Linked DNA regions of Daphnia pulex. The main gene of each other region encodes a partner of the protein of the gene in region 2 in a complex. Links are inferred from orthologs where the notes say so. Each region holds a gene or a part of one and is shown on either strand. Other genes may lie near its edges. The genes, in order: negative elongation factor B-like, negative elongation factor D-like and negative elongation factor A-like.

Region 1 (6,509 bases), on a different chromosome or scaffold from region 2:
ACCCCATTTAAGATGAGGTCGGTAAATGACGGGGTGTTTTAACCGAGAGTCCGAGAGTTAGGGTTCAAGAATTGTATTGTATAACTGATTGCAATTGTACAAACAAAGATAAATTTCAAACTACAACGCCTGTTATGACATATCACGATGCTATAGTATACATATTAATAGCACATAGCAGCACACACATATTCAAAGTTTGCTAGAACCTGGATTATTATTAAATGCCACTTTTGCGAATTCTACTTTATTAACCTTACCCAACGCATTACGGGGTAGTTCGGAATATATTCGCCATTCACTTGGCACTATGTAAGGAGCCATTCTTTCTTTGCACCATTGTTTAAGAGCTATTAAGTCTATGGTCATCTCAGGGTTCGCCAGGACAAGGACAGCTGCTACCTACGAAGCACACAATCAACATCACAGGTAAAGTGGGTGGCAAATAAATGAAATTGCTGGTGAATCAACGTGTGATACCTTTTGTCCCCAAGTAACATCAGGAATTCCGAATACCGTGCAATCTGCAATTTCGGGATGACCAAGAAGATGTGTTTCGATTTCGAGAGCAGAAATTTTAAATCCGCCGGATTTAATAATGTCGGCTGATAATCGGCCAAGGATCTTGAAATAACCATTATCAAATTGAACTGAATCTCCTACAAAAACAACCGAGATGTTATTCACACGAATTGGCCCTTCAACATAAAAGCAGACAAGCAGTAACAAACCTGTTCGAAACCATCCATCCGCAGTAAAATCTTTAGCTGTGGCTTCTGGTTTGTTCCAATAACATTTAAAAACGTTTGGTCCTTTGATAAGAAGATCTCCTATGACTTTCTAACAAATAGGATTTCATGGATATTAATAATAGAAGCTTTTTTATTCAATCCAAGGCTTTTGAAAAAAACTGATTGTGTTCTTACATCATTTGCGTAGCCTTTTGAAAACTGGTCGTAGCTGGTCTCGAACAAGATTTGATAATTAGCTTTCGATCCAAGAGGAGAAGACTGAAATTCTGCTAATCTGATGCTGACACCAGGCGACGGAACTCCAACATAACCTTAATAAAGTCAAAGGGAAGTACTAACAAGGATTTATGATTGTATGGATAAATTCTAGTTTTAGTTTTAATTGGGAATGTTTATTGTTTAGGTAATAAGTGTATGAAGTGGGGTTAAGCTGAACCAAGGACCTTACCAGGGCGTCGTTCTCCCTCCAGAGGAATAGACAAAACAGAACCAATTTCCGTCATCCCATAACGTTCCACAATTTCAATTCCAGTTGCTGCTTTCCATTTGTAAAACACCGGCTCAGGAAGAGCTGCAGACCCGCTAATCATAACCCTATGAGAAGAAATTAAAACAAATTATTTGTTGTCTCCCCATTCAAATCTAACAAGAAATACCTAAAGTTGTTAGAAATACTAGCTTTCACATATTCCCTTTTCCGTTGAGTTTCCCCATAAGTGGAATCGTAATGTGAGAGTAGTTTGCTGTACATTGTAGGCACACCCATGAACAGAGTAGGCTTTTCCTCTTGACTCACGTTAGTATTTAAGAAATTTTCCCAAATTGCTTTCGAGTCGAATTTGGGCAACATAATACAACTGAAATTAAGCCGCTGAATTTAGTGTCGATAACAGTAAGTAATTTCATTTAAATTCGAATACCTGGCTCCTACATATAGGGGACACAGCAAAGCGTTTATAACACCATGAGTGTGATGAAGTGGAAGCGCATGAACGATGACGTCTTTTTTGGACCATTGCCATACTTCAATCAACATTCGTACCTGAGCATCGATGTTTTTATGACTCAGTAGAACTCCCTTGGGTTTGCCGGTGGTTCCACTAGTATACAGCATCATAGCATCAGAATTCTGATAAAATTCCATTGGCTTTGTGTCACAGAGAATGGATTTTAGTTGGGTGGGTGTAACATTTTGGTTGATGGTTTGTTGCCATGATTCTTCTAGAATTACAGATTTGGTATCCTGACCAACTGTTTCGTGGACAGCATTAAGCAATTGGGAATGACTTTGAGAAGCAATTATTAAGGCAGCATCACAGTCTTTGACATAGTAACCCAACAAAGATGGAGGATGAACCGGACTGAGTGGTACAGCTGCAATAGAAATAATCATTATTAGAGAACTTTATGTTTTGATATATGTTTTGATACCAATGTGCCCTGCCGCCCAACAGGCCCACTGAGATATAACATAGGTAGAGTCATTCGGACAGAGGAAGCCAATTCTTTCTTGATTTTTTTCTGGACCTATAGAACTTTTAATCATATTTGACAATTTAATGGCTTTAAGCAACACATCCAAATAGGTATGAGATCCATGGCTGTCTTTAATAGCAACTCGATTGAGATGTTGAAGAGCAATTCGATGTGCAGGAATGATACCACGATTTTCCATCGTGGATTGAATTCTGCCTGGAGGATCTGTATTACTGATAGAGTATGGTCTACTTCGAAGGGTTGAATTAAGTACACCGGATCTCAATGACTTTAGAAAAACAGAGAGCATCGTCATGTTATTCATCAGTCAAGTAATAAATCGTGAGATATCTTATCATCTATAAAGGTGTAATTCTGCACGTCGAGATAAAATTCGAATCTGATAAGAATATTAATAATCCTATGAAGTAACCTTGGAACTTGGAAGTCTGGATAGAGACAACTGATGTGTTTGTTTACAAAAAAAAAATACTTTATGTCGTCTGCTGTAGCTCCCGGCCTCTTTTCGCAAGTCAAAAAGACCAACAGGCTTGCACAATCGTTTGCAATCTTTTCTATAATCGTTTTAAATGTTATGTATATAAAGGGGAAAAAATCAAAACAATTACAATTGGGGTCCAACCACCCAATATTTTGTAATTAAATTATTTTCTAATTAGATGCTCCTCTATAATACTCGTGAAACGGCAACGTTGTCTAGACTGTCAACAAAAACTTGTTGTTGGAAATTTGTGTCCGGGAGTTACACTGAAAAGTGAAAACTGCGCGAAGAAACTGATTCTTCGGGATATTATAATTTGAAATACATTACGTGTGAAACGTTATTTTTTTGAATTATGAGTCGAAATCCCTCTTCCTCGGCAGTTCCAAATGCAGCTGGTCAGCCGGCTGGTGTAACACCATCAACCAGCACTCCATCTGCATCTGGTCTTGAAGTCCTTGGAATACCCGGAGGAACATTTCTCAGAGAAGCTTTGACTTCGTGTAGTGATCCTCTTCAAGCCATCGAAGAATTTCAAGTTGAAAATGGAATACTTCTACCTTCTTTAAGACCAATGATGCCACTTTTGGATTTACATGGAGTAAAGCGGCTTGATTTCCACATATCTGTCATGGAGGTTGTTTACATGAAAAGATTTAAAACACACTTAGTTTTCAATTATTTTTATGCTTTTAGGCACTTCGTGATAAGCTTTTGGCCCAAATTGCTGATTTAGGTAATGCATCTTTAATTATTTTAAAATCAGTTTTATTTTACATTAACTATCTTCAGGCCAAAAAGAAGGAAAAGAGAAAGACAAGAAATTGAAAGAATTGTTGAACAAAAGCTTTCTTGTAGTTAAAACTAAAGCTCTAAGGCCAGTTGTTATGGCAGTTATGAAACACCTTTCTCATGTTGATGAAAAATACCTCAAAGTTTTGGTAATGTAATACATTTATTATTTGAATTCAGAATTTAATGAAATGATTGATCTCAGGTGAAAGACAAAGAACTTTATGATGATTGTGATACTGTGGTTAAGAGGCAAATGTGGAAAGGTATCCTCTTAGATAACATTTCAAATACAAGTATTATAACTTTTCATTCAAATTTTAGACAACCAATCCCTTTTTGGTGATGAGGTTTCACCTTTACTCAGTCAATATATCAAGGAAAAAGAACAACTTCTCTTTGATCAAAATAATCTGACAAATTTGTTTTTCCTACCATCTCCTAAGGTAAAATGAAATGGTATTAAATGGTCTTTGTGGCGCTGCGACAAAATATATACCTTTTTTATTGGTCAAGGAGAAAAATAAAAATCTTTCTTTCGATTCCCAGGTTCGCCGCCAAGGAGAAGTGGTCCAGAAGCTAGCGCATATGATCGGAAATAACGTTCGGCTGTACGATATGGTTTTGCAGTTCTTACGAACATTATTTTTACGTACTCGTAACGTTCATTATTGTACATTGCGTGCTGAACTGCTTATGGCTCTACATGAGACGGAAGTGCAAGAAATTACAAACGTTGATCCATGTCACAAGTTCACCTGGTGCGTGGATGCTTGCATAAGGGAACGTAATGTCGACACCAAACGTTCTCGAGAGATTCAAGCGTTTCTCGACGGTATAAAAAGTGGCCAGGAACAAGTTCTTGGAGATCTGTCTATGATGCTGTGCGATCCCTATGCCGTCCATTTCTTAGCTACGTCATCGTTGAAGATTTTGCACAACCTTGTTGCATCAGAAAGTTTGCCTCGAGAACACCATATTTTACTTTTATTGTTACGGATGCTTGCGCTTGGTTTAAGCGCATGGCAGATGATCGATTCTCAGGTAGGACGAAGATTCAAAACAACCATTATTCCTTTATTAATTTCAGTAATCTTGTGCAGGAATTTCGGGAACCACGGCTTGATTCTCAAGTTGTCACGAAATTTCTTCCGGCTCTCATGTCGCTAATGGTGGATGATCAAGTCCGATCTCTAAACTCGAAATTACCCAGTGATGAACGTGAATCAGCTTTGACCATTATCGAACATTCAGGTACATGTAACCATTACTGTGAAGTTTCAAGGCACGTTTACTTAATGCTTCTAATAATAGGACCTCCACCCGATGCATTCCAAGCATACATATCTGAAAGTAGTGTACCTTGTGTTCTAGCAATGTATTACACTCTCCAGGTATTATTTATACTATATGTGAATAATGGCATTTATTACTGTCATTCCTCGGATTTAGGTGGCAAGAAGTAGAGACAAAGTGGCTTTAACTCGTGTTTTGGGCACGCTTGCTGTTGGTCACGGCGAACGATCATTCGAAGATCCTTTCCTTCACACTTTGGTAATATCCTATTTTACCTATTAGATCATTAAAGTAAATAACTTTATAATTGGAAAATAGGTTGCCCATCTGATTCCAATGCAGGATGAATTTGTCAATGAAATGTTTTGCACAGTTGTTTTTGATGAATTTTTTTTCACATCAATTGGCAAGGAGAATGTTGTCAGACATTTAACAAAACTTGTGTGGTATGTTCATCATAAGCTACCTGCTGCTAGACTTGATACCTTAATGAAAGCACTTCAACCAAATCCTCAATCCCCTGAAATCATGCATCAGGTAAAAATATTATTATATTGGCATAGAAAAAAAAGAAAATGTCCATAAATGTGCTTTGCCTTTAGGTCTATAAGCAACTGGAGCAAAGAATTGAATCATACCAGCTGAACCCATCATCTATGACTCAAGGAGTCCACAATGATGACTCTGTGTTGATGATGAATGTACCTACTCCAATGTCAATGTAGAATAAAACAGTGTATTGGTCAGGCTTACAAACAAGATTTAATGATGATTTATTGATAATAGAGCTCCAAATTCATCCCATCATGAATCTCATCTACAAGAAGAGAATAAAACTTAGTCAATATGGAGTAGCCATAAAAAAACATCAAATTCAAAAACTACTTACAGTCCTCCAGTTTGATGTGATCCTTGTAAATAGTGTACCATTTTTTTAGAACAATCTTCTCCCATCTGGTACCTGTTTGCGCAGCAATCAATTTTTTCAAATCTCCAATTGTGTCGTCAGGGTTACATTTGACTCGAACTTTCTTGCCAAGACGATCGTTGCAGGTGATCTCGATCATTTTGTATAGGTAAGACTTGTCACTTTGTCAGGCCTTATAAGTGAACAAAAGGCAGAAACTTTAGTCTGATGTCAACTAAACAAATGTAAGTCGTCTACTCTCAAGTGGACAGCAGCGCTGTACAAAACTTTTCAAATTTCAATGAAATATGAACTTGTTGGACGAACGAATTTTGACGTGAATTTTGTGCGACGAAAAGAAGCAGAAGACGACGCTATGACCAACACAGTTGCCTTCCGAATTTGTATTTAATATTTTAGAAATGAAAATAATCGTAAAATAATTTGTAAGAATGGGAATAAAAATAAAAATAAAATTCTAAATAAAAATCTATTATGGTTAGGTTAGTTTTAGTTTTCTACGTATTTTATCATTTTGTGTGTACATACACCGAGTTTACATTACATTTGACAGCTTGTCCCGACGTCGTCTTCTGCCTTCTGCTCGATGTGTTTACGATTAGTGTTATCATATAAATTTATACGTTTGTTTTTTAAAGGGGATTGGCAATCCTTTTTTTAATTTTCTAATTAAATTTTAAGCAACTAAAGATGTTTTCCGCCTTAAAAAAGTTAGCTGCAGGAAACAATAAGAATGAAGCAAATGGAAAAACTCCAGCTGGAG
Region 2 (6,442 bases):
TACCCCCGATACACTGATCGTGCGCCGTCTACCGGAATGTCTAACAGAGCGAGATTTGAACGATCTTTTCCGATATTTTGGTGCTCAAGCTGTGAGGAAAGAAACACCAAAGGGAAGGCAAAGGAACAGCACTATTATTGTCAAGTAAGTTAGATATAAAATACTAATTCAAGTGAAAGAAATAATTTGTTTTCTTCATTCAACCTGATGATGCAAAAGGTTCAATTCACATGAGGATGCATCATTTGCACTAACTCGCTTGCATCAGCTGAAGGTGGTAGGTAAGAGGATTGTTGCAGAATATGCAGACTTCACAATCTTGCCAGACATTCCTCAGATGAACCTACCAGCACCGAAACCAGCTGGCAAGAATAATGGTGTTAAGTATCCTCCTGCCAATGAACAGATAGTGAACAATATTGCAGCAGAACTTCTACGAAATGATGATTTTTATCACAAAGTTTTACAACTCATGAAGAGTATTAACTTACCTCCACCTTTCCTGCAAGTGCCAAAAGATCCTGTTGTTATAGTTGAACCATCTGATATTGAAGAAGTTGAAATGGAAGAGTTGTACAAAGAAGATACAGAAGAATCAGAATTGGAAACTGATTCTTCTATACCTGGAGAAAAAGAAGTCATTCCTGATGTAGCTGTCAGACATAAGAAGCTTAAACCATTGAAAAGGCCTAACAAGCTGAAAATGCTTATCAACCCATCAACAGCAGTGATTCCTGCTAAAGTGAAACCTGCATTGCCAACTGTTCAAACTATTTCAGAAATATTTGAACAGAAAGAAATAAGTTCAGCAAAGAAACTTGAGTTTAAGATATCTTCAGAAGTTCTTCATGCCAAAAGTGATCAGTCAACCGAAGCGCAACAAGGAACAACAGAAAGTTTCGGAACATTTGCTCCGCTTCCTCCGAGCCAAAATGAACAGCAAAGTGAAGCTCTAGAAAATCAGGAAGAAGATTACGAATTTATCTCCAGAAGAAAACTTCAGATAAACAAACTTCAAGATGAGGGTTAGAAATTTATCATGTTAATAAACAATGAACATTTTAAAAAAAGCTTTGCACCTTACAGAGATCAAACTTCTTCCTGTCTTCAAGAATTATTCGGCTGGTGCTCCTAGTTCACGACTTTACGTGAAGAACTTGGCTAAAACCGTAAAAGAATCCGACCTGAAGCACATCTATGGCCGTTATGTCTTGTGGACGTCAGAAGAAGAACGAAACATGTAAGAATAAAAACAAAACATAAAACAGATGTTTGACACGAGTAGCTAAGTAGTTAATCTTTTAAATCTAGGTTCGACATTCGCCTAATGACCGAAGGTAGGATGAAGGGTCAGGCATTCATCACCCTTCCAAATGTAGATCGAGCAAAGGAAGCCCTCAACGATACCAACTGGGTGATGCTTCAAGGCAAACCTCTGGTTGTTCACTTTGCACGCTCAGCACAGGCCAACACTACGGGCAGTACCACTTGATTATCAGCAATTTCAGTCGATTTATTTTTATGAGCACAGAAAGGATGAAAATAAAACAAATTGGAAGTGATATCCGCGTCGAGCGAAACTGTTTGTTTTTATGAGTCGCAACATCCAACAATTGGTAACGCTTTATTAGGAAACCACGACGTAGTTGGCCTTACAGTACACTAGAAAAATGGAATGCCTCATTAAGAATACTTGTAAGGATTCAAATCCCGTCGAAAATGTTATAAATACCTATGAAATCAGAGACGAGGTCACCGTCACCATCGCCACGCATTGTACCAGTAATTTCTTCATTTTCAACCATCGGAAGGAATAGTTGGACGAACTCGGATGTGTAGGGTGGGGCAATCGATTCAAGTACCTTGGGAATCATATTCAAATTATTACAGGAACTTCAAAGGTACGGTGTTTGGCATTTACCTCTGTGACGAAGTACCGAATCAGTGAAATATCCGTGTCACCTCTTTGCCAGCACTGTTTGATGTACTTGACAATAGGGACGACGTAACCACGCGTTAACAAATTGACCATACGATCAAGTAACATTTTACGCATTTCCAGTTGAACGAGAATCTCCAACTCATCCTGTCTCGACTCGAAAAGTCGTACCAGCAAGTCGAGGATATTTGAGTGGAGCAAAGGATTCACGGCGGCCACTTCATCGAGAAGCGCCAAATGAACAGGGGTGTGTTCGGTGCTCAACTTAAAGTAGGAGGGCTCTAACACAGTCGCTTCTACCCAGCGAAATACGCCCATAGAGACCACAGGGAAACGGATGTACTGATACAGAGTTCCAAGCTCAGCTATTAATTCAGTTGATCCTTTTGCTGTCGTGCAAACTTGATGAGCCTTCTCGAGTGCCTAATAAATAAACATTATTTAGCTTTTCCGATTGGCATTTTTAACAACAGTATACCTGCATGGTGGCCTTTAATTCATCTCGGTTCGTGTTTTTCCTTTGATTCTTTTTGTACACTTCAGCCACGCTGGCAGCGTAAGCAAGGAGATAGTTGTATTTTGATTTGTGCTCAGGATTGAGCTTCACTCCAGGCTTAAACAGTGAATCGAGGAGCAGCTCTACAAAAATTCGTGAATTAAAAAATCAAAATCTTCTAGCCTTTACAATCGCACGAAACAAGAATAATATCATACCCATAAACTGAGGTAAACGGATCAACTCCACCGGTGGGGGATCGGTTGCCGAATACAGTTTATACAAATTCGTGATATCGGCTGGATTCAAAGCGTTGCGAGAGAGCATTGAGGATAAAGCTTGACTGGCACGCGGATGCGCCGCTGACCCATTAAGACCCATAATAATGGCAGTGACATTGTGACCCCTGTCCGATGATAAAGCATTTGATGACATTATTGTTCCATCTAAAAAAAATGGCCTAGTGGAATTTAAATACTAACGATTGAATCGCGTGACGGGTAATTTCTTGTGATAGTCTTTTGATTGAAGGGCCTCCTTTAGGTTCTTGAGACAAAACATTTAACAGTACTTCACTGTACACGAAAGTATGTTGCCCATGACAAATCATCCGCTGTCAAAATTTGACAGAGCATTAATAACAACTTCGATATTGCAACATTCGAATAATCATGTCTACTTACAGCGCATTCTTGTATGTGTTTTTGCCTGTCGTCATCATTACTTTCTGAGTACTGGCCAACCGAAGTCTTCAAAATTCTTGAAAACACTTCGATTTGCTGAGCTGCAGTTGATATACTCGTAATTTCACCTTGAAATCCTGCATCCGAAATCAACTACGAATTTACAAAAGTAATTCGTCAATTACGAAAATTATACATATTATAAAATGGATATCAATACCTTAATGGTGAAATTCAACATAAGGCAATCAGGATATTCCTCAGCCAGTTTATAAACCAGTGATCTCCAGGTGGGATGTTCAATCATTTCAGTAAGCCAAGCTGGTGTCTGAATAAATAATTGGATGAATGAAAATACTGAAGGAAAATCTTAAGTTTGAAATATGTGTTATCTTACTTCTCCCTCCTCAGTGAAAATAGTATCAGCTTTCTTTGGATCAAACATTTTGATGATCATTTCTTTCAAGTGATTTTCTACCATTGACTGTACATCATTTATAGTTGCCCCAGCTAAGATGAGCCATTCTGCCATTAGATTAGCCATCTGTGCTGAGGCAGAGTAGTTCTGGGAGAGTAGTTCAATGACATGGGCTGGGCTTCCACCAACTGTAAAGTACCTGTAGGAAAAAAACATCAATCTAGCTTCTTTCGTCAATAGTGGAAATGACAATAGTAACCTTTTCAGTTGATTGAAAATGCCGGGTTCCATGATGTAGTCCTGTGTTTTGAACGTTTGAAGGCATTCTTCTAAAACTTCTGCAGGATTTTCCATGTACTGGTCCTCATTGTCAGACTACACGAAAATACAAATATTCATTAACCAAACCACTTAAAGTAAAGTATTACTGATGTAAAGAAAACAACTGAAACATGTAAAACTTACGTCTCCCATCTCGGAATCCCCTCTCATTCCCGAACTTTCTCCCCATTCTTGATTATCGTAGCCGTCATCCATTTCCAAGTCAAATTTTACGGAATCAGTAACTGTTTCATTCGATCAAACCACACGAGTTAAATATCTAATAAACCTGATGTGAAACGACGGGTTCAAATTATAACAACAAGCGTCACGAGCGCGTCAGGCGGCGTCTGCTTAAAGATTCGTCTGCAATCAGAATTATTATTTTTCTCCCATCCATTTGCACAAGTCCAGTCTAACAAAAAACTTCAAAAGAACATATTAAACTAGGTAAATAATAACAATCCTAATGTATTTTCATTTCTGTTCTAATTATTGATATTTTTATTGCAGGAAAATGGAGTTTTTGTTAAGACAATTTCAAAACAGAAACTTGCTTTCCATTTGCAAAAGCTTTCAACCAGCAATTAATCATGCCACTTCTTTATCTTTAGTCAATGAAACTTTTGGCAAAGCTTTGCTCCACACAACAAATGTTTCAATGGCACAGCAGCAAAAAGGGCCCCAAAAATGGCCAATCTATAATAAGAAAATGTTTCCTCCACAGTTACCTGGAGAGGAAAGAAGACCAGCAGTAAGTTATTGAGCATTTCCTTTTTTCAGCAAAAACCAATAAGTTGAACTATTTAAATCTTGCAGTATGTTTGCCACATGAGGACCAACATCAAGTATAGCCCATTTAAGATGTGGTATGTTGCATCAATGATAAGAGGGATGTCCATTGATGAAGCTCTCAAACAACTTAGCTTCGTGAATAAGCTAGGAGCTGTCCATGTAAAAGAAGCCTTGTTGGAGGCCCAGAAGCTTGCTGTGGAGAAACACAATGTTGAGTTTAAAAGTAATTTGTGGGTAGCTGAATCTTTTGCTACCAAGGGACTTGTTTACAAGGGTGTTCGCAGGCATGCCAAAGGAAGAGTTGGAGTAATACATTACTTCCACACTCATTACTTTGTCCGCTTAGAAGAAGGAACACCTCCTCAACATTTCTACTTGGAGACTGTACCTAAAACAACCAAAACATTGTTATCTGAATGGGTTGATGAAATGAGGCAGAGGAGAATCCCTCTCTCATTATAGTTCTCCCAAGTGCTGGTCTCTTATAGTTGAATGAATAAAAACATGTTTAATTCCATTTTCTGGTTAAGTTTCTATCAAAATTTTAACTTTTAGCGTTTCAAGTGCGGGGCACGATTTTCTAGATGAAAAAATCCGTTTGAACCATTTTATGTGAAAAATTATGCTTCATATTTCTTTTATAAAATACTCCTTTTTTCTATTAAACAATTTCAATAATTCCATTAAAAAATTATTTTTGCAAAAATTTTGCTAAATCGTACACTGCCGCGCTCGTCATTATAAAAGAAATGTGTGAAATCGTGACAGTAATGGATGCACCGGAAGTTGCGTTCTACTTTCGTCGTCATTAGTTCAGGCTGCCGGTGAAAACTGAAAATTCCGTCATATATTTTGTTCAACTTTGGCGTGTATTGATTCGTCCGTTCTGTGCAAGTTCTTTAAAAAAAAAACACAACTCGGTTACAAAAGTAATAGTGTAGTGCTGTAGAGTCGCGCCGCCAGCCGTGAAAATCTTTCTTCTTGTTTAACACCACGCTGTGAGAAACGACAGAGGAGCAACTGTTAAAACTGACATCAGGTAAAATAAAAATAAAAAAGCGAGACTATACTATGCCGCGAAATCTATCCGCAAACTCATTACTTTAAGCCAAATATCACGTAAGAAACTCATCGTATCAAGTCTCTGCATATCGTCGTCACACATTTTCAAAAGCATAAGATAATTACGATGATGATGCAATCGATTTTGTGGGAGCCAGTCAGCAGTTGTACAGGACGTGACGACAAAGTTCGGGGTTAGTAGTACTGTTTTGTTGTTGTGTTACCCTTTTCTATGACCCCCGTGAGGCGCTCATATATAATTCAGGCCGTCGAAAGGGTGGGAATCTAAGTCTAACAAAACAAATAGGTGGGGTGTGTGTGTGTGTATATACGTTAGCATTAGTCTTCTTTCTCGAATCCCGTTGATTGCCATCTGGCGAGTCGTGACAGCGTTCGTGTTGTCAAACTGGGCATAGAATGTAAAGGGGAGAATCGTGCTTGGGGCAATTCAATCACAATAAAGTATACCATCCGGATGGATGGATAGAAATGTTAGTTACGTTAATATTTCCAAGTCCATTTTAAAAACCCAAAAGAAATGAATAGATCTACCGAGGATATGCTAAGCGTCCCCGCCCAACTCGATTTCCCAGTTGATTCGTGAAGTTTGAGCTATTTTATCGCGATTGCAACATTTGATTCAATTATGGCTGTATAATCTCGATAATTTTATGAGGGGATCAACTTTTGTGTGTACACGGGCTTGTCACGGGAAGGAGAACAAGGAA
Region 3 (6,521 bases), on a different chromosome or scaffold from region 2:
CGATCAGCGTCAACAACAAAACGGTAGGTCAAATGGTTCACTCGAGATTTGAACATCCTTATTATCGACTATTTAGTAACTGCTGTATCTAATAAACTCTCTGACGTATTTTTTGAAAAAAAGATTTGACAAGTTGTTTAACTATGTGGGACGGAAACGAGTTCAGCCGCGAAGAGAGAGCCCTATTGAAAACTGTCTATTCAATCGTTGGCTCGTCATCGGGCAAAGCCATTCAACTTTCGGACAATTTTTTCGAAATCGGGGGCAATTCACTCAACGCTGTCAATGTGGTAACCAAGCTGAAGGATCAAGGCTTTCACATAGGTAACAACTCTTAGTTACCTCGTTACGTTATACCAACAGGCTTGATTTCTTTTTCGTCACACGTTTCATATACTATTACCTCATGACAGATTTGACCGAATTCCTTGCCGCCTCCAGACTGGAAGATTTGGTTTCTCAACTGTTGCCATCGAAGGCGGCCTGCGGATCAAAGACATCGGATCATCAGTTATCCAATCACACTGTCGAAATGCTGAGCCCGTCAGTCAAGGAAGACGTCATCAGGTATTTTATTTTATTTAGTTATTTTTTATTTCGTTTATAAATAACGACATGTCGTAATGCTTGACGATATTAATCAGGATTATCAGTACAAGTTTCTCGGAGAAAGCCGAATTGGAACTTTTGACAGGCGTCAGTCGTCAGGATTACGAAGTTTTCATGGAGGAACTCTGGGAGCCATTAGTGGCAGCAGACTTGAGGTTGAAGTTCCATTTTAAAAAGACACCATCACCAATTGATTGATTGTTCTATGGGTGCGCACAGCTTTGTTATCCGGAACGGGAGCGGACAAGTAGTGGCCGTGGCCCTGAATTTCGATCTCTTTGACGAGCCTGTCGTTGAACCGAAAGTCCGGCGCTTGGCGTACGTCTTTGAATTTCTCGAGGCGATTGAGGCTCCTGTCAGAGACAAGCACTTTGAAAAGCGGACCAACTTATTGATCCACAGCTTTATGATGGCCACGGCCGAAACCTCCAGTCCATTGGAGAACATCCAACTCATCCAGAAAACGGAGCAAGAGACCCTGGAGCTGGCGATACAGAAAGGCTTTGTCGGTGTTTTCACAACCAACACCAACGAACTAACAAGAGTAACTCGACTTATCCATTTGAGGCAAAGTTTCGTCCCAAAATACCAACTCATTTTCCCTTTTCGATTTAGCAAATTTGCGACGACCTACTGGACTATACTGTATTGTTCGAGTGCCAAGTGAATCAACACATCGCTAGCGATGGGACCAAGCCTTTTGAACACGCTCCCGATACCCAATACTCGACAGTGACTGTCAAATATATACACTAAATTCTCCTTTTCTTTTTTTGTTTAAACAAACGCAAAATTATTTTAAAACAAAAACTGGAAGTCGCGTAAACCAATAGCGACCGGGACTGTTAACGATTTCAATACACATACTTCTTTTTTTTCTTAACAAAGAGTATCGCTTTTTTTATTCGCTTTGAATGATATGAACATGTTATGCATGGATCTGTGTGTATGAGAACTACAAGAAAACTGTACTTTGAAAGAAAGAAAAAAAATGAACAATTTTCAAATGCTGAGATACTGAACAGTATGCCGCCTCTAAGGCTTCAGCTTGGTTTGTGAGATGCGGGCGACACGGAGAGGATAAGGACTGAAAGTCAAGTCGAATCGATAGGAATGAAGAAAAACAGGGAAAGGAATAGTAATGTGCAAAACAGAACTGGAAAGAAGGGACAAGTTGAATCGACTTTGGCACCGAAATATATCAAAACAAAATAAATCCCGTGCCCCACAGTCGGAACAACGCGGTGGGTAGGGGATAGAGGGAAGGGCTTACTTTCTCATCCGCACTCATTTCTCCTCGCCTCTGTCTTGTAACATCCATCCTGCTGCTATTTACACAGAATTTTCAAGTCCCTCTCTCTCTCTCTCTACTGCAACCAGATTCGTTTCCTATTCAGCCCGTCGCTGTGGCCATGACGGTGGCGACCGACGCCGGAGTTTCTTCCGTTTTCCTCATTTTCTTGATGCGTTTCCATTCGCCGGCTGCATAGTTCATCTGGAAATGCGTCTCGACGACCCTGGTGGTGGTGACACCGTCGGTAGCCGTCACAACCTCCTCATCCTCGCTCAACTTGATGGTGACGATGTTTCCCAGATGTGGACAAGGATTTTCTAGAAATATCAGTAAGTAAAGAATGAACATTTCTTTTGTTTTCAAACAGCATCATTCCAATGAAAGTTACCCCGAGAGCCTGCCATGAATCCGAGGATAAGGGCTTTCTCCGGTCGTGTGACTTTGTTGGCGTTCTTGAACATTTCTTGAGCTTCTTGCATTTGCTCGCGCTATAGAAAACAAATGTTGAATTACCAAAGAATCATTCACCATGACTGCAACGACAATTAAAACTTACAGTGAGCATGAGTGCCACACTCTTTTTGGGTGGAGCGGCCGGTTGATTGGGAGTTGCTGCCGCCACTGCGACAGGCTGCCCAGCAGCAGCAGCTGGTTGAACCAACCGATAAACGGTGGGCACCGTAGTAGCAACAGCAGGTGTCGCAGCCGCCGTTTGAGCTGTGACAAGGCGTACCACTTGGGCAGGTGGGGCAGGAGAAGCTGGAGGTAGAGAACTGATTGAAGGAGTAGTAGGCGGACGGACGGCTACCATTCTAGGCGGCTCTTTCAACGGCGTAAGAGGTGGGATAGAAGTGGAGGCAAGTGGAGTGACAGGGGCGGCCGGGGTTGGAGGCGGGTTGCTCGGAAGAAGGCCAGCTGCATAGTCGGGCGTTGGAGTAGGTTTTTCGGGAGTTTCGGGGACACTGCCCGTCTCTGATTCTTCGCCCGAAAGCGGTTGTGCCGGATTTGTAGAGGTAGCCGTCGTTTCGGTGGCTGCTTTTTGGGCAGCTTCCAGTTCTTTACGGGGGGAAAAGAGGCAACAGCGTTAACAAGCAATTCGATAAATATAGCTGGATACGTATTACCTTGTTGTCGTTTTCTTTTCTTCGCCTGAGCAAATCCGATCGGCTGCTCATTGATGTCCAGCAATTTGATACCGCCATCTTTTCTGCCAGCTAACGTGCGAGGAGACGGACGGTTGGGACCAGCGGACGGAGAAGATCCTAGAGCACCGACACTTGTGGGCGTCGTCCCAACGCGCGAAAGTGGCGAAGCGAATCCTCCAATGTGCCGGCTAGGAATGCCTTTCAATGGTGTCGTGTCCGTCATCTTCCTTGGAATTCCTCGTGAGCGCAGTGGTACCGTAGGAGCAGGATTCTTTTTCAAGTTATTTTGGGCGTCGGTGGATTTCTGCAAAAGCTCGGCACGCAGCGCCGCTGACTTGGGTTTCCTCTTTAATGTGAAATGTTTGATGGGGTGGGACTGAAAGAGCAGAGTCAATCGCATATAATGTAACAGGTTCCATTTTGGCGCGAAACGAGATGAGCGTTACCTGCTGGCCGACAACAGTGAACAGTGCTGTTTTATTCAAATAGGGGCATTCTAAAGGAAGCATTCCAGTTTCTCCATGCTTTTTCACTGTAAGTTATGTTCAAAACCATTACGAAAAAGCCACGATGAAATGAATTTAGATTTTTGCCAAGTTACCAAGTTTTCTCAAATCATTTGCAAGATCGTTGAAGATTTTTCTTGTGTATTCATCGGTGGCAGAGCCAATTTCCATGTTGAGGGCTCCGGTGGCTGGGTATGTTTTGAGGATTTCAGCAACCATGGCTACCCACGGATCACCATCAACAACAGCCACTTCCAAAATTTCTTCCAACTCTGTCTTCCACTATACAAGTAATAAAAAACGATTACTTTTCAGAATCTACGAAGTGAAATGACAAACAAGATGGAGAAAAAGACGAAATCAAACTATATGAAGGCCACTGACCTCTTCTAAGTTCCTCCTTGAGAACTGGAAGAATGATAGTAGAAATTTGAGTTTGACTTGTGTTTGCAGCTCGACAAAGCATTCTTGAATGTTCTTCAAAACTTCGGGATTGAGTTGGGAACAAATTGAGCCGCCTGCCCAGGAATCAGTGCTGATACCAAGTTTATTATGAAGCCAAAGTGACGTATCTGAGTCTCTCACGTTGGACGCCATTTTCCGCCCTGTTTTTCTTTTTTCTTCCTTTGCTTTTCTCAAACACAAGGTTTCTTACAGCGAACGGAACAGTGCCCACAAACCAATTTCCCACTACTTGTTTACAACTTTTTCACTGTGAGCCAGAAAATGTCGATGCAGACAGCGTCACTGTGGCGTAGTTTCGGATGAGACCGAAACTTACTTTACCACTAACGGCCGCTAGGGGCGCTGCATGCCTGCCTCTATCTTTTTCGTTGCGCAAATTTGGGCTAGTTGCCACTGATACGATTGCTTGTTAGGCCAAACTTAAAAAAAAAAAAACGTATTTTGAACGACCGATGGAAACGGTCGCGGGAAAATCAAAGATGAAAATATCACAACGATGCCATATATTGTTATTAGTCACGTTTCTCGATGGGATGCTGTGCTGTGACTTGTGAATGGCGGTCGTAGAAAAGAAAAAAGAAAATACAAAATGGTTTTCCCCAAGCGGAATTATCTGTCGTTGAGTACAAGCGTTTGTTTGCGTTGCGATGAATGGACTTTTTCTTTTTTTTTATTTTACCAAAACCGCGTTGTTGGGAAACGTTGCTGCTGTTCAACTCGGCTGACTAGACTACAATGATTCGTTATCGAACAACCAAATAACGGACGTGAATCACTCGTCAGGAGGTCGCTTAATCGACCTAAGTAAATGATGTGCCATTTCTAAAGCTGTAAATATAGTTTCTTGTCGAAACTATTGTGTGTCGAGTGATCGAATGGTCCTAAAAGTACTCAACGCTCTACCATGTCGACCGTAATTGTATAACGAATTAGTCGGAAAACAAATTAAAAATTCCATTGTTATAATCTGATCTTTCGTTGCGCGCGATCGAGTTTCTCTTTAGAACTAACCTGCATTTTAGAATAGAAATATTTTGTTTTCTTTTAAATTTCAAACTTGACGCTGATTCCGTTTAAGACTCAGTGCAAGTATCAAACAACATGTAACGCAAACGCAACACGGATGAAGTGTATACAGTTAATCAATACAATGTCTCACTTCCAAACTCGCCAACTGATTTCAGGCGCCTTGATTCAATTAAGTACTATGTAGTACCTATCATTAAGTTCGTAACCCATAAAATCTCCCGGTGTCTCACTACTAGTTGGGTCTCGGTGCTCCGAAAGCCCGAAGTTGTGTCGGTCAATTCGCACGATTAACCCCTAATAAGGATCGTTGGTCCAATTAGGGCCCAGCAGTATTATTAGCGCAATGAAGTGCGAGCGTGTAATGCACCCAAATCCAAACCACCTTCCGTGACTTATTTCAATACTCAACTCCAATATGTGCTCTCATCTTAAATGTATGTTACACACCCATCTCCCCTTCAACGTCACATCAGTTTTCTATAAATAAAAAGCTTATTAAAAAACAAAAAAAACGTTGAAAAACAAAGTCATCTATTTCCGACGTTCTTCCTTATATCGTCTGGTTGGGTTAGGACAGTTCCGGCTACGATAGAATCTCTTAATAGGAAATTCAGTCGCTCTGATGTCCGTGTGGTTAATTAAGTGCTGAACAAAAGGAGCCCAGCATCAGATTAAATTTAAAAAAAGACCCAAAATGGAACGACTCTGCTGGCTCAGCAGTCGAGAATCTATTATGTAATAACCGTTTTGGGGGAGACAACATTTTGACATTTGAAAAGCACAAAAATCTGGCCTCAAAAAAATAAAAGGGCCATCGTTTAAATATAGTAAAATGAGCTTCCTCCTGTGACGTCGTCTTGTCCTAGTCGCGAGAAGTAGTGCTCCTAAATCTGAAATTCTTAAGTCCGCAAGGGGGTTATTAATCCGCCAGCAGCGATTTGATCTGTTAGGGAAATTGGCAGCGCGTTTCCAACAATCGCAACGAATGATTGGTTATTTGACGCTCGCCGTACATCTATCGCTTCCTGTTGTAACACACAGCAACAGCATCATCATTCTCAGCAGGCGAAATGTAATGAAATTGGTTTTATAGAGCTGTGCGTCGAGCTAGAGCCTTGAAAGTGTAGAGGCAAAATATTTCCGGGGGTTTGGGCGATGAAAAAGCTTGTTCATCCTTATTACATCCGTCTCAGATGTATAAAGTATGTACACACATTGTATCCGATGATAGCCCAAGTCTCAATGAGGATGTTACGTATAGCATCTATAATAGCGATGCGTCTACCACTTTTCAACGCATCCATCCAAAGGCAATATGGCACTGAGGCCGATTTGACGTCACGGATATAAGATTATGTCGGTGGGTGTGCACGGCCAACCTAAATCCATCGTCCAACAACTTATTGCTAGTGCAACTCCTGGATGAGGAAGAGGCGACTCGCTGCTGAGTCAAAAGGATATAGATATTGACTG

The links.
Region 1: the proteins of negative elongation factor D-like (region 2) and negative elongation factor B-like are in contact, whole or in part, in a crystal structure (PDB 8JJ6), measured with the Homo sapiens proteins. The link is inferred for Daphnia pulex from reciprocal best matches to the Homo sapiens genes NELFCD and NELFB. Residues at the interface, in XP_047296144.1 of Homo sapiens: Arg63, Ile66, Met67, Glu68, Pro69, Ile71, Phe72, Leu75, Ile89, Gln90, Leu92, Ser93, Tyr96, Thr97, Ala98, Val99, Ala100, Gln101, Thr102, Val103, Asn104, Leu105, Leu106, Trp109, Leu110, Gln112, Thr113, Gly114, Val115, Gln121; in NP_056271.3 of Homo sapiens: Met49, Leu53, Leu56, Val58, Ala59, Asn60, Gly61, Leu64, Lys65, Leu68, Thr69, Leu75, Ile78, Glu79, Phe81, Gln82, Glu84, Asn85, Gly86, Val87, Leu88, Leu89, Ser91, Leu92, Ser94, Ala95, Leu96, Pro97, Phe98, Leu99.
Region 3: the proteins of negative elongation factor D-like (region 2) and negative elongation factor A-like are in contact, whole or in part, in a crystal structure (PDB 5L3X), measured with the Homo sapiens proteins. The link is inferred for Daphnia pulex from reciprocal best matches to the Homo sapiens genes NELFCD and NELFA. Residues at the interface, in XP_047296144.1 of Homo sapiens: Cys204, Gln205, Gln206, Leu207, Glu208, Phe210, Ser211, Leu214, Arg215, Leu218, Ala219, Ile221, Leu222, Asp223, Gly225, Glu226, Cys241, His242, Gly243, Glu244, His245, Thr246, Tyr247, Leu248, Phe249, Ala252, Met253, Ser255, Val256, Leu257; in NP_005654.4 of Homo sapiens: Leu23, Trp24, Ala25, Leu54, Leu58, Leu61, His62, Arg65, Pro88, Trp89, Met92, Val93, Ile96, Leu97, Phe100, Gly104, Ser105, Leu106, Leu108, Leu110, Asn116, Val117, Asp119, Ile120, Leu121, Glu123, Leu124, Arg125, Lys127, Val128.

What each region holds. Positions count from the first base shown.
Region 1 is NC_060017.1:4,643,051-4,649,559, forward strand, and holds negative elongation factor B-like, read left to right. Parts: upstream 1-2,932; 5' UTR 2,933-3,085; coding exon 3,086-3,367; intron 3,368-3,426; coding exon 3,427-3,466; intron 3,467-3,522; coding exon 3,523-3,671; intron 3,672-3,727; coding exon 3,728-3,788; intron 3,789-3,846; coding exon 3,847-3,968; intron 3,969-4,071; coding exon 4,072-4,566; intron 4,567-4,625; coding exon 4,626-4,776; intron 4,777-4,836; coding exon 4,837-4,916; intron 4,917-4,974; coding exon 4,975-5,076; intron 5,077-5,136; coding exon 5,137-5,355; intron 5,356-5,420; coding exon 5,421-5,543; 3' UTR 5,544-5,574; downstream 5,575-6,509. Other genes in the region: malonate--CoA ligase ACSF3, mitochondrial-like, read right to left, coding at 193-402, 481-659, 732-840, 927-1,063, 1,201-1,346, 1,409-1,609, 1,673-2,126, 2,184-2,553; rab-like protein 6, read left to right, coding at 6,437-6,509. UniProt on the Homo sapiens protein: Essential component of the NELF complex, a complex that negatively regulates the elongation of transcription by RNA polymerase II.
Region 2 is NC_060027.1:2,128,455-2,134,896, reverse strand, and holds negative elongation factor D-like, read right to left. Parts: upstream 4,143-6,442; 5' UTR 4,074-4,142; coding exon 4,002-4,073; intron 3,912-4,001; coding exon 3,796-3,911; intron 3,736-3,795; coding exon 3,516-3,735; intron 3,447-3,515; coding exon 3,339-3,446; intron 3,272-3,338; coding exon 3,119-3,271; intron 3,049-3,118; coding exon 2,918-3,048; intron 2,842-2,917; coding exon 2,654-2,841; intron 2,579-2,653; coding exon 2,418-2,578; intron 2,363-2,417; coding exon 1,922-2,362; intron 1,863-1,921; coding exon 1,733-1,862; intron 1,663-1,732; coding exon 1,628-1,662; 3' UTR 1,493-1,627; downstream 1-1,492. Other genes in the region: RNA-binding region-containing protein 3-like, read left to right, coding at 1-144, 220-1,025, 1,087-1,240, 1,312-1,492; 39S ribosomal protein L22, mitochondrial-like, read left to right, coding at 4,375-4,611, 4,677-5,114. UniProt on the Homo sapiens protein: Essential component of the NELF complex, a complex that negatively regulates the elongation of transcription by RNA polymerase II.
Region 3 is NC_060020.1:1,899,071-1,905,591, forward strand, and holds negative elongation factor A-like, read right to left. Parts: upstream 4,309-6,521; 5' UTR 4,152-4,308; coding exon 3,939-4,151; intron 3,837-3,938; coding exon 3,650-3,836; intron 3,581-3,649; coding exon 3,495-3,580; intron 3,425-3,494; coding exon 3,028-3,424; intron 2,960-3,027; coding exon 2,460-2,959; intron 2,392-2,459; coding exon 2,292-2,391; intron 2,221-2,291; coding exon 2,003-2,220; 3' UTR 1,538-2,002; downstream 1-1,537. Other genes in the region: tyrocidine synthase 3-like, read left to right, coding at 1-23, 124-324, 414-567, 645-764, 829-1,153, 1,225-1,365. UniProt on the Homo sapiens protein: Essential component of the NELF complex, a complex that negatively regulates the elongation of transcription by RNA polymerase II.